Kluyveromyces lactis: one gene and its partners. The protein of the gene in region 1 interacts with the protein of each later gene in a pairwise test. Links are inferred from orthologs where the notes say so. Each region holds a gene or a part of one and is shown on either strand. Other genes may lie near its edges.

The links.
Region 2: the proteins of RIM20 (region 1) and RIM101 interact in binary tests that used the Saccharomyces cerevisiae proteins (3 or more experiments, as listed by UniProt). The link is inferred for Kluyveromyces lactis from reciprocal best matches to the Saccharomyces cerevisiae genes RIM20 and RIM101.
Region 3: the proteins of RIM20 (region 1) and VPS4 interact in a two-hybrid assay, tested with the Saccharomyces cerevisiae proteins (2 studies listed by BioGRID). The link is inferred for Kluyveromyces lactis from reciprocal best matches to the Saccharomyces cerevisiae genes RIM20 and VPS4.

Annotation. Positions count from the first base shown.
Region 1 is NC_006039.1:638,548-642,501, forward strand, and holds RIM20 (Rim20p), read left to right. Parts: upstream 1-1,408; coding exon 1,409-3,367; downstream 3,368-3,954. Other genes in the region: EFR3 (Efr3p), read left to right, coding at 1-1,274; MOD5 (tRNA dimethylallyltransferase), read right to left, coding at 3,354-3,954. UniProt on the Saccharomyces cerevisiae protein: Required for the proteolytic cleavage of the transcriptional repressor RIM101 in response to alkaline ambient pH, which is necessary for sporulation and invasive growth.
Region 2 is NC_006041.1:78,952-82,577, forward strand, and holds RIM101 (alkaline-responsive transcriptional regulator RIM101), read left to right. Parts: upstream 1-1,564; coding exon 1,565-3,118; downstream 3,119-3,626. Other genes in the region: WSC4 (Wsc4p), read left to right, coding at 1-410; GRC3 (polynucleotide 5'-hydroxyl-kinase), read left to right, coding at 3,544-3,626. UniProt on the Saccharomyces cerevisiae protein: Transcription factor that mediates regulation of both acid- and alkaline-expressed genes in response to ambient pH.
Region 3 is NC_006038.1:948,747-951,987, reverse strand, and holds VPS4 (AAA family ATPase VPS4), read left to right. Parts: upstream 1-1,357; coding exon 1,358-2,650; downstream 2,651-3,241. Other genes in the region: ASN1 (asparagine synthase (glutamine-hydrolyzing) 1), read left to right, coding at 1-877; KLLA0_B10824g (pyridoxal 5'-phosphate synthase), read right to left, coding at 2,808-3,241. UniProt on the Saccharomyces cerevisiae protein: Involved in the transport of biosynthetic membrane proteins from the prevacuolar/endosomal compartment to the vacuole. Required for multivesicular body (MVB) protein sorting.

The DNA of each region.
Region 1 (3,954 bases):
CTAGCTCCGAGAAAAACATGTTATTGATCTTAAAACTAATATCCAGTCTATTAACTTCAGCTGTCAGTATCATAGGTTTATCAGTGATTGATATCTTGAGAAGACTAATCACTGTTCAGCTAGCAAAATCGGATTCAACTACTGTAGTTAAACAGATTGCTGTGACGATTAAAGATTTAAATCGCAAAACATACTACAAACAGCAATCATCTGATATGTTTGCCGAATTGAGTTTTAAATTTATCGAAAGCGGAAAGCCACATCACCTTGAATTATTCCAGCTAGATTTGGACTCCTTGATATCTGTTACTAGTGACCAATGTCTAGATCTTGATTTATTTGGCGAGTTTTTGCCATATGTCACTGACAAAACGCAGTTATCAAAACTTTTGTATCCAGAAGCTCCACATCAAGTTATCTTTATCAGATTCTTTGAGAAAGTATCTACTTTATCAAAACAAGATACTGAAATTGCCATATCAACCTCTTTTGCATATTATAAAGCAGCCTCTCTTCTTTCAGGTTTGGCCTACTATGTCAACAACAATCGACCTTCAGACGGTTACTATGCCTATCATCATCATGCTTCAAAGTTTCTAGGACTAGCAGATTACCAAACTCAAGTTGAGTTTAAAAGAAAAGACAATGACATCTTCACCAAGGAAGACTTGTTGAATTACTACTCAGATGCAGGTTCCAATATCTACTCAGAGAAGGGTAGAGACATTCTATTGGTTGATCATTCTGACCAAAATGGTACTGATATCGATCAGGACACGGTTCGATACTCAACACCAATCCCGTTGCCACAAATTAGCATACCCCCAACCACTACAAATGGCATTGGCATAAAAAAATCATCGCCAGCTAATGATACATACGTTACAAGATCTCTGAAACATAATCCCGTTCCGAACGTAAAAGACTTGAAGAATTTGGTCTCTTCTAAAAAAGATAAAAGTAATACAAAAACGTTACGTGGTTCACAATCGGTGAAATCAAAAGTCACAAACATAACATTCCTATTAGATGAATTAAAGAACGATGGCGATGAAATTAAAATTGCCGACCCAGATGAAGAAGACATTATTGGAATGGAAAAACAAGATCTTGCAAGATCTTATTCCTTAAGAATGAATACCATCAGTAGCACGAATTCCAGGACATTAATACCGTCAGTAGAAAATGCAGAGGAACATGGTGATGATTTCAGAGATGCTCATGAAGATATAGAGGTCTCATCTTCTACCAGAGGTAGGTTATTTATGGTCTAATGTATTATATGTATTTTAAGGTATAGACATTTAAAAAATGAAAAAGTAAATGCATTTATCAACAATAGTATGATAGCAAGCCCAAAATCTCTGGTTGAGAAAACATTTCGCCAAAAGGTTAGTCTAAGACCATAATGAATGATATATTTGCTATACCGTTTAAGCGCGCCCTTCAAATTAATTTGAAAGATGCGTTTACCGTTGTAATAAACAACACTTTTTACCAAACAGCGGCATCGGTAGAGGCTGATTTAACCCAACTTGACAAATATAGGGATGTTTTATTCCATCTGGACGTTTGCCAAGCTGACTTAAATATGTTGAAACAATACTATATGGCTCTCAAAGCTATTGCTGTCAAGCTTCCCGATGACCAGGTAGAATTCACCTGGTTTAATACACTCGGATTAAAGTCTTCGGGTATGACACGAAACAGTCTCCGGTTTGAAACATTTAATGTGTTATACAATATTGGGGCTATGTATTCTTCACTTGCAGTTGAGCAGCGGTTAGAAAGCACAGAAGGTCTGAAGGAAAGCTGCCGTCTTTTTAAACTATCTGCGGGTTGTTTTAAATTTATCTATGAGCATGAAGTCAGTAACAACTTCAAATTCTTCGATGAATACACTCTGAATGCTCTCGTTTCTATGATGTTAGCACAAGCGCAGCAAATGGTTTGGAAAAAGGCATGCTTTGATGATATAGAAAGACACTCCATTCTTTCGCGATTGGCCTTGCAAGTAGCTTTATTTTATCAAACCGCTTCGAAGAATTCAAATTGTAGTCCTTATATCAGGACTGATTGGGTAAAAAGTCTAACCTCAAAGTCCCACTATTTCATGGCAATAGCATACTACAGATCTGGATTGCATCAGGTACAGAAACAAAATTATGCTCAAGGTATATGTGATTTTCAATATGCATTGACATGGATTAACAAACTTTCTTTGGATGATGAACTTACCGAATGGAGAGGAGAAGTGCAAGCGTTACTTGAATCGGCAGAGAGAGATAATGACCTTATTTATTTACAGGCATCAGTGCAAAATCCCTCCAAAGTAAAACCAGTTATGATGGTGCAAGCGGATCTTTTCGATGAGATTGAGAAAAAAGATGGCAATATATTCAAGAACTTATTGCCGATTGATGTATTGGAATCTTGTAACGCTTTCAATGAGAGGGTGGAGACATACGTAAAAGAGCATATCTCGAATCCCCTTGAATCAATGAACAAACTTTTGATCTCGAATACACCGCAATATATGGACTTTAAATCATATTACATATCAGAGCAGGAATGGAATTCATACAGCGACTCATTGCAAGACCTTGAACAATTGCGAGCATATGTTGCAGGTGAATTGAAATTATCTGAGTCTATTTTACAGAAGGACATCCAAGAAAATGAGCAAATGATTCGAGAACATGGCCTGCTGCGGTGGAAGATTCCTTCTAAAGATAAGAAAATCGAGAGTCTGTTGGCAGACTTAACCAATATCCGTAATTATATTGAAAATGGTATGAAAGTAGATACAGAGACAGCGTCTCTTTTCAAGACTTTGGATCATGATTTGGTAACCAACGTCAGTCAACCACCTGAATCTAGTGACCCTATTATGAAAGAAGCATCCTTGATATTGCAAGGAAGAAAGAATCACATACTAGCGGCAGAACGCAAGATAATTGAAAACCGTCTCCTTCCTAAAATTGTATCATATTATAAAAAGACAGGATCTAAAGATTTTGAACCTGTCTTTCAAGAACATATCCGAATGTTTGATGGCGATTTGCTGCAGGTACAAAAGGAAAAGGCTAAAAATAAAGAAATGCTGACTAAAGTAACGCTATCCTCACCAGAACAGGTTCAAATCTCCAGAAATGATCCACGTACTCTTTACTTGGAAGAACTTAAACATTCATCCAATGTGTTGAGTGAGTTAAAAGAAAATATCATTTCCGGCAAACAATTTTATCAGGATTTAATTACGGCATTAGAATCCAAACTGAAAGAAATCGAAGATTACGTAAATGAACGTAAGCTGCAAAGAACTGAACTAAATGATACCCTACTATGTGACACTAATGAGAGTTGATAGAGCTGCTATCCATTTCCAGCAGCTTCTTCTTTTGCCATTTTTCATACGACTTCTTTTTATGTTGCCTGTTGATGTTAGTTTTGTGCCGCCTACTTTTCAAGTGAATTTCCCAATTACGCGAACCAATTGCGACTAGGTTTTTATCTTCTTTATCTTTACATAAACTGCAGGAAAATTGTTTCCAATCCATATCGCTTTTTGGACTATTAGATGACTTGTATGCTAACAATTTTTCTAAATCTGGCTGAGCTAACGGAGCCTCAATGTCTTTGCCTTTTGTGAAATCTGAGAGTATTGCATTAGCTCTAGCTGAAACGCTCACATCCCACTCTAATAGGTCTGTTGCATTTAAAATATAGACTTTGCCGTCAACATCTGGTATCAACATTTTTCTTATCCATTTCACTTGCCTTTTTGCGTATTGTCTAGTTCGAACTTTCATCTTTTCAACACATTCATTGAGATCACATTCGCTTGATTCTTCTAACCACGGCAAAAACTCTTTGAATCCTATCACTTGCCAGACCCCATTTTCACATTGTTCTTGCCCATAATTGTGCTGTTTGTAGTATTCATACAATTCC
Region 2 (3,626 bases), on another chromosome or scaffold:
CTGCAATACTCGCTATTCTGCTCATATTATTCCTCAAGTACAGAAAGAACAAAGAACAACAAGACTTTGAAAAGACATACGATGAGGTGAAAAGATCAGCTACTGGAGCATACTCTACTTCGTCTTCTTCCCAAATACATAGCAGTGGCGGTGGTGGTGGTGCAGCACCCTTTGTTTACACAGATGAAAAGGGTATTGTGAACACGACGACAACCAGTCCTAAATCGCCGACATCAAACACCCAGCAACCCGTTAATACCCCCGAGTCTGAAGTATCAGAACCTGTTGTCCTTGACCAAAGGCTGGATCCACAACATTTAATGTCGCAATGGGAAACGAACGGAAGTAGAGTATCACTCGCTGACGATGTTGACTATTCGAGAAAAGTATTAAGAGTAATCAACGAATGATTGTGCGCCTACAACCATCGCATTAAGACACACAGAAATACAACTAAAAACTAAAAAAATGTAAAAGCTATTACACTAATAATACCTACAATTGAAAACGTAATACTACCTCTCTCATCACATCTATTAAATACACTTAAATGTCATCTTCCATATTTATGCATATTCCGTAATTGTTGACTGCTCGCTTTTTCAGTTTCCCTTAATATATAGTTTTAATAATCGTTACACTCACACTATGAAAATTAGGTGCAAATACATACATATAATGAAATATGTATGTGAAATACAAGAGACTTCTACCACATGTTTTAACGTTTACTCCGAGTACTATCTTGAGTACCTGAATGCTACGAAATTATTTTCAGATCTGATCTACTCATAAAAAATCGTCCTTTCGACTCACCCGTCCTCTCTGTTTCTCATTCCTTCACCTTTGCAGATCCATGTTATTACCCGGACTGTTTTAGGGTGCACATAGAAATACATTCCACGTTTTTAGTCATTGTTGCAGTAACTACTGAAATTTTCCACGCACCACTTTCGGCCGGAAAGAAGCCATACCACTTTTACGTTCAACAAAGTCCAGTTGTCTCTTTAGTTCCCTCTCTCGCTGCAGAACCTACTTCAAAGGTCACTCAACTACATCACTCAATACAAAACGATACAATTTGTAACTTCGTTACCTTTTACTTCTATGTGCTTAATACATAACTACAATATTACTTATCTGTATTGCGCATGTTGTCAGGAACTTCACTTACACCAAATCTCAGCGAAGATAAAGAACATTCTTTTGACACTTCGAAGATATATGGGGGAGATAATCGTTTAACATTATTATAAGTTTTTTCTATAGATTTTATGAATGAAAATATAAAAAAGCAAAAATTGTATACAAGGCTAAAATGGTCCTCACCCAATAATTGTTCTGCAGCCCAACAGCGAATGAAAGTAGGTTTAATAAGCACTGTCCGCTGTTCTAAAGCTTCTTAGGTGTGGAAGTGCTGATATACTGAACTATATTCATCCTGTACACAAGTTTTTGATTCTTTCTTCTCTTGATTCAAATCACTTCAATCCGCAAATTGCTAAGAAATAAACAGTCAAGCCATTGACGAAGTCCATATATTCAATTCATTTTCTCCTATAAAATGTCACCTATCGCACACTTATTGAATGCCAGTACCGGCACTGATTCAGGTAGTCATTTGCGCGATATCCATGGTCATCACGATAGTCACGATCACGGTTCGGAGGAGCAGGCTGTCAGTCCTTTGTCTCCTCGCTCGTATCCATCTCCTCGCAGCAACAGCAGTAGTAGCTGCGAAGAGAGTCAATCCTCAGCTGGGGTTCTAGCTAACATTCATACCGGACCGGCTTCCCCTCATGGAAAGGCATGTGTTGCGTCTTCACCCCTTTCCACCACTGGTATGAGATCTGCCTCTACGCCTTCTAGCTCTGACGAAGATACTGTTCATTTGCACCGCTGCCAATGGAAAGGCTGTAGTTTGGAGTTCACTTCTCCCGAACTACTTTATCATCATCTTTGCCAAGATCATGTTGGCCGTAAATCACAGAAGAATTTGCAACTGAACTGTCAATGGGGCGATTGTCAGACTAAAACAGTTAAAAGAGACCATATCACGTCTCATTTGAGAGTTCATGTGCAATTAAAACCTTTCGCTTGCTCCACTTGTAATAAAAAATTCAAAAGACCTCAAGATTTAAAGAAACATTTGAAGGTACATAACGAAGAACTTTCACTACTGAAAAAAAAACGTGGTCCGAAGCCATCCAATAAGCTGGGAAAGATTTCAAATGACAGATCCCGTGCTCATCAGAGATTCACTTTACCATCTATTTCTTTGGATAAATTTATTCACGAGGAGGTGAAGACTCAACAACCCGTGTACTCTCAACAATTGGCAGAAAAGATGGCCATCGTCCTGCTGTTACCTGTTAATAACAACAACGCAACTTCCCCTCCTTCTGCGTCTTCTGCTTCGTCCACTGCAGTTTCCCCGAACTTGGTATCGCACCATATGGTTCTTCCTTACCAAACCCAGCAACGTCCTCTCGTGGGTCACGGTGCTGAATTGAGATCCGCTGTTGGATTCTTCAATAATTTATCCATGGATATGTCTAGAAACTATGCTAACAATAACCTACCGACCGCTAACTTGGGTCCTAACCCGGTACCTGCACCACAATCATACCCACTAATCCCTAAGTTGCCCAGTATTTCAGCCAGGCCAAATGTTGGAGCTCCACCTCCGGTATTGTCCGTATTCAACAGGTTTGATACACATCAAACATCTCCTTCTTCATCATCATCAGCATTCTATCCTCAACACTACTCGAATAATTACAGCCTACACCAAAGAACTGCGCTGTTGGATGCTGAGGCTAACGAAGATATCCCCGAAAAGGACAACGTATCTTTGGAGGAGTCATTCACTTCGTTAAATCTATCCTCAGAAGAGCAAGACTTGGAATTATTCTACGAAACCTATTCAACTGTCAAGTTAGTTAAAGATTATTTGTTATGCGAACTTATGGAGGAGTTAGATGAATTCAAAGAGGAAGAGGAAGAGCAAGGCTTTACGTCATTTGATGAATTTAGTGACTCCAAAGAATGTGTCATTGAAGGAAGAATTCCGTCGAACAAGATATCTCTATCAAAATATCCTCAGGTTGTGATATAGCCTCGTTATAGTAGAATATTACTCCGAATTTTTTCTGCAATGTTATGACACATATACTTGATGACATGGTTTTGGGGCGGCAATCTCTTTTTTTTGTTTATAATTTTTTTTTGTGGATACAATTATAAGGTTAAAGCTGACAGTTTATATGTAATGTTTTTTATTATTTTCTAAGGAGTATGTACAACTATAATTCATGCATAGTTCCCGGTAGGTTTGATTTTGAGTTTTCTCTCAAGATGACGACAGCTTTTGGTTTCCCTTGCTATTAGATGCACTGATTATGAGCTCAGTAAAATGTCAACAAAAATTTCAGAACAAAACAGAAAAAAGTCTCAGTATGAGATGAGATGAGAAGAGGTAAGGTGCAATAAACTCAGCATTCGAATGCCACTTGCTCGGTTTCCAACAGAACCATATTTGAGATGTCTGAAGATATTCTAACATACACCGCGAACACCGATTCAGACGATTCAGATGTGGAACAAAGAGAAATCGAAAAGAAATA
Region 3 (3,241 bases), on another chromosome or scaffold:
CTGGTCTAGATTGCACTCATTCGCTGTTGGTTTGCCAAACGCTCCAGATTTACAAGCTGCTCGTAAGGTGGCTACATTCATCGGTTCTATCCATCACGAACATACTTTCACTTTACAGGAAGGTCTAGACGCTTTGGACGATGTTATCTACCACTTAGAAACTTACGATGTCACTACTATCCGTGCTTCCACCCCAATGTTCTTGCTTTCTCGTAAGATCAAGGCTCAAGGTGTTAAGATGGTTTTGTCCGGTGAAGGTTCCGATGAAATCTTTGGTGGTTATCTATACTTCGCACAAGCTCCATCAGCTGCTGAATTCCACGTCGAATCTGTCAAGAGAGTTAAGAACTTGCACTTGGCTGATTGTTTGCGTGCTAACAAATCTACCATGGCTTGGGGTCTAGAAGCTCGTGTTCCATTCTTGGACAGGGACTTCCTACAACTATGTATGAACATTGATCCAAACGACAAGATGATCAAACCAGCTGAAGGTAAGATCGAAAAATACATTCTAAGAAAGGCATTCGATACCACGGATGAACCAGATTTGAAACCATACTTACCAGAAGAAATCTTGTGGAGACAAAAGGAACAATTCTCCGACGGTGTCGGTTACTCTTGGATTGATGGTCTAAAGGATGCAGCTGAAAGCACTATCTCTGATGAACAATTCGCTCAACCAAAGGCTGAATGGGGTGACGATATTCCAACTACCAAGGAAGCCTACTGGTACAGATTGAAGTTCGATGCTTTGTTCCCACAAAAGACCGCTGCTTCCACTGTCATGAGATGGATTCCAAAGGCTGACTGGGGTTGTGCTGAAGATCCTTCCGGTAGATACGCCAAGATCCACGAACAACACGTTGATAAAAAATAAGATCACTCTACTAATGTCTCTGTTATAAAATCTTATAAATATGTACAGAATAATTAAATAGAATTAGTACTTCCTCGATACAAATATACTATTTTATTTAACGTTAATGGCAAAAAGATATTTAGTGTGAGACTCTTCTATTATATGACTGGGGCATCTCTCTCATAAGCAATCTAGGATCACGACTGCTAGTATCCGAAGAGTGCTGTAGATGAACATTTCATTAGACATTGTAATTAATCACGTGATTTGATAAAGCATAGTCAAATACATTTTCTTATGTTGATGTTCCCAAGTAATTGCAAAAAGCCTATTATAATAGAGATACGTACTGCCTTAAATGTGTGTCGACTGATACGTGACTCAGTTTACCCCTCTGTTCCTGCTCCATAGTGATTTCGAAATACCATAGCCATTCAAATTGTAGAACGGCTTCAAGATTACAATTTAGTGTTCACTACTCACAGCACTTACATTGATATGAGCACCGGTGATTTTTTAACAAAGGGAATTGATTTAATACAAAAAGCCATTGATTTAGACACAGCTACGCAATATGACGAGGCTTACACCGCATATTACAATGGATTAGACTATTTGATGCTAGCATTAAAGTATGAGAAGAACCCCAAATCTAAGGACTTAATTCGAGCAAAATTCACTGAGTATCTGAATCGTGCAGAACAATTAAAGGAGCATTTGGAAACAGAACAACAGAAGAAACAAGAAAAGCCAAAAAAGGCAGCCACTGCTTCTGGTTCAGGTGGCAATTCCAATACAGAGGACGATGCAGACGATAAAAAGCTAAGAGGAGCCTTATCAGGGGCGATCTTGACAGAAAAGCCTAACGTTAAATGGGAGGATATCGCTGGTTTAGAAGGTGCTAAAGAAGCATTGAAGGAAGCTGTGATTCTTCCAGTGAAATTCCCACATCTTTTTAAGGGTAAACGTAAGCCTACGACTGGAATCTTGTTATATGGTCCACCAGGTACTGGTAAATCCTATTTAGCGAAAGCTGTTGCCACAGAAGCCAACTCTACCTTTTTCAGCATAAGTTCCAGTGACTTGGTTTCGAAATGGATGGGTGAGTCAGAAAGATTGGTCAAACAACTATTTGCCATGGCAAGAGAGAACAAGCCGTCCATCATTTTTATCGATGAAGTCGATGCATTGACCGGGCAAAGAGGAGAGGGAGAGAGTGAAGCAAGCAGAAGAATAAAAACAGAACTTTTGGTTCAAATGAATGGTGTAGGTAATGATTCCAGTGGAGTCTTAGTTCTAGGAGCAACTAATATCCCATGGCAGTTGGATAGTGCTATTAGAAGAAGATTTGAGAGAAGAATATATATTCCCCTACCTGACCTTGCGAGCAGAACAAAAATGTTTGAGTTGAACGTTGGTGATACACCATGTAAATTAACAAAAGAAGATTACAGATCTCTAGGGGAGATGACAGATGGTTATTCAGGATCCGATATTGCCGTGGTTGTCAAGGACGCATTAATGGAACCTGTCAGAAAGATTCAAATGGCAACACATTTCAAGAATTCGTCGGATGATCCAGACGTACGGAAGCTAACACCATGTTCGCCAGGCGATCCAGAAGCCATTGAAATGTCATGGACAGATATTGATGCTGATGAACTTCAGGAGCCTGATTTAACTGTAAAAGATTTCCTAAAGGCTATACAAACGTCAAGACCAACAGTTAATGAAGAAGATATACACAAACAGGAAGAGTTCACCAAAGACTTTGGTCAAGAGGGAAATTAGTTCGAATTCCAGCAGCAATTAAAAGATAATAGTAATGATGTTTCAAAATGCTTTCATGGGCAATATAGATAAATAATCATATACATAGAACGTAACTGAGTCATAATCCTAGCTGATTTTAGCATTAGAACACGAAATAACCCTGATTAATAATCCTTCAGGTATAGTAGCTTGTTCTGTTTTCGCTATCAGATATCTTTGCATCCAATATCTTAACCTTGATGATCACGTTGTCATCACCTTTGATATAACAATTAGCATCTGGATTCACTCTTAGTAGTTGCTTTTCATAGTAGTCGGATTCTTCAGATGATGGATCAATAACTGTCGCTGTACCTGATAGCGTGGCTGACATTTGTGATAGTTCAGATTGATTCAACTCTTGCAAAAGGTTGAGCAACCTACTTGGTTGTTCTTCAGAATCATTAGAATCTGGCACTGGAGTATTGGATACACTTGTTTTCCTCAGAGATAGTTTTTTTGCTGTGACCCAGTCATGGATCAAAAGAGATACAGATGGGTTAGCAATAATATTCTTATACTTTTGAGTAGACTTTGATGTGGCAAAGATAACATAATGACTATTGGAGC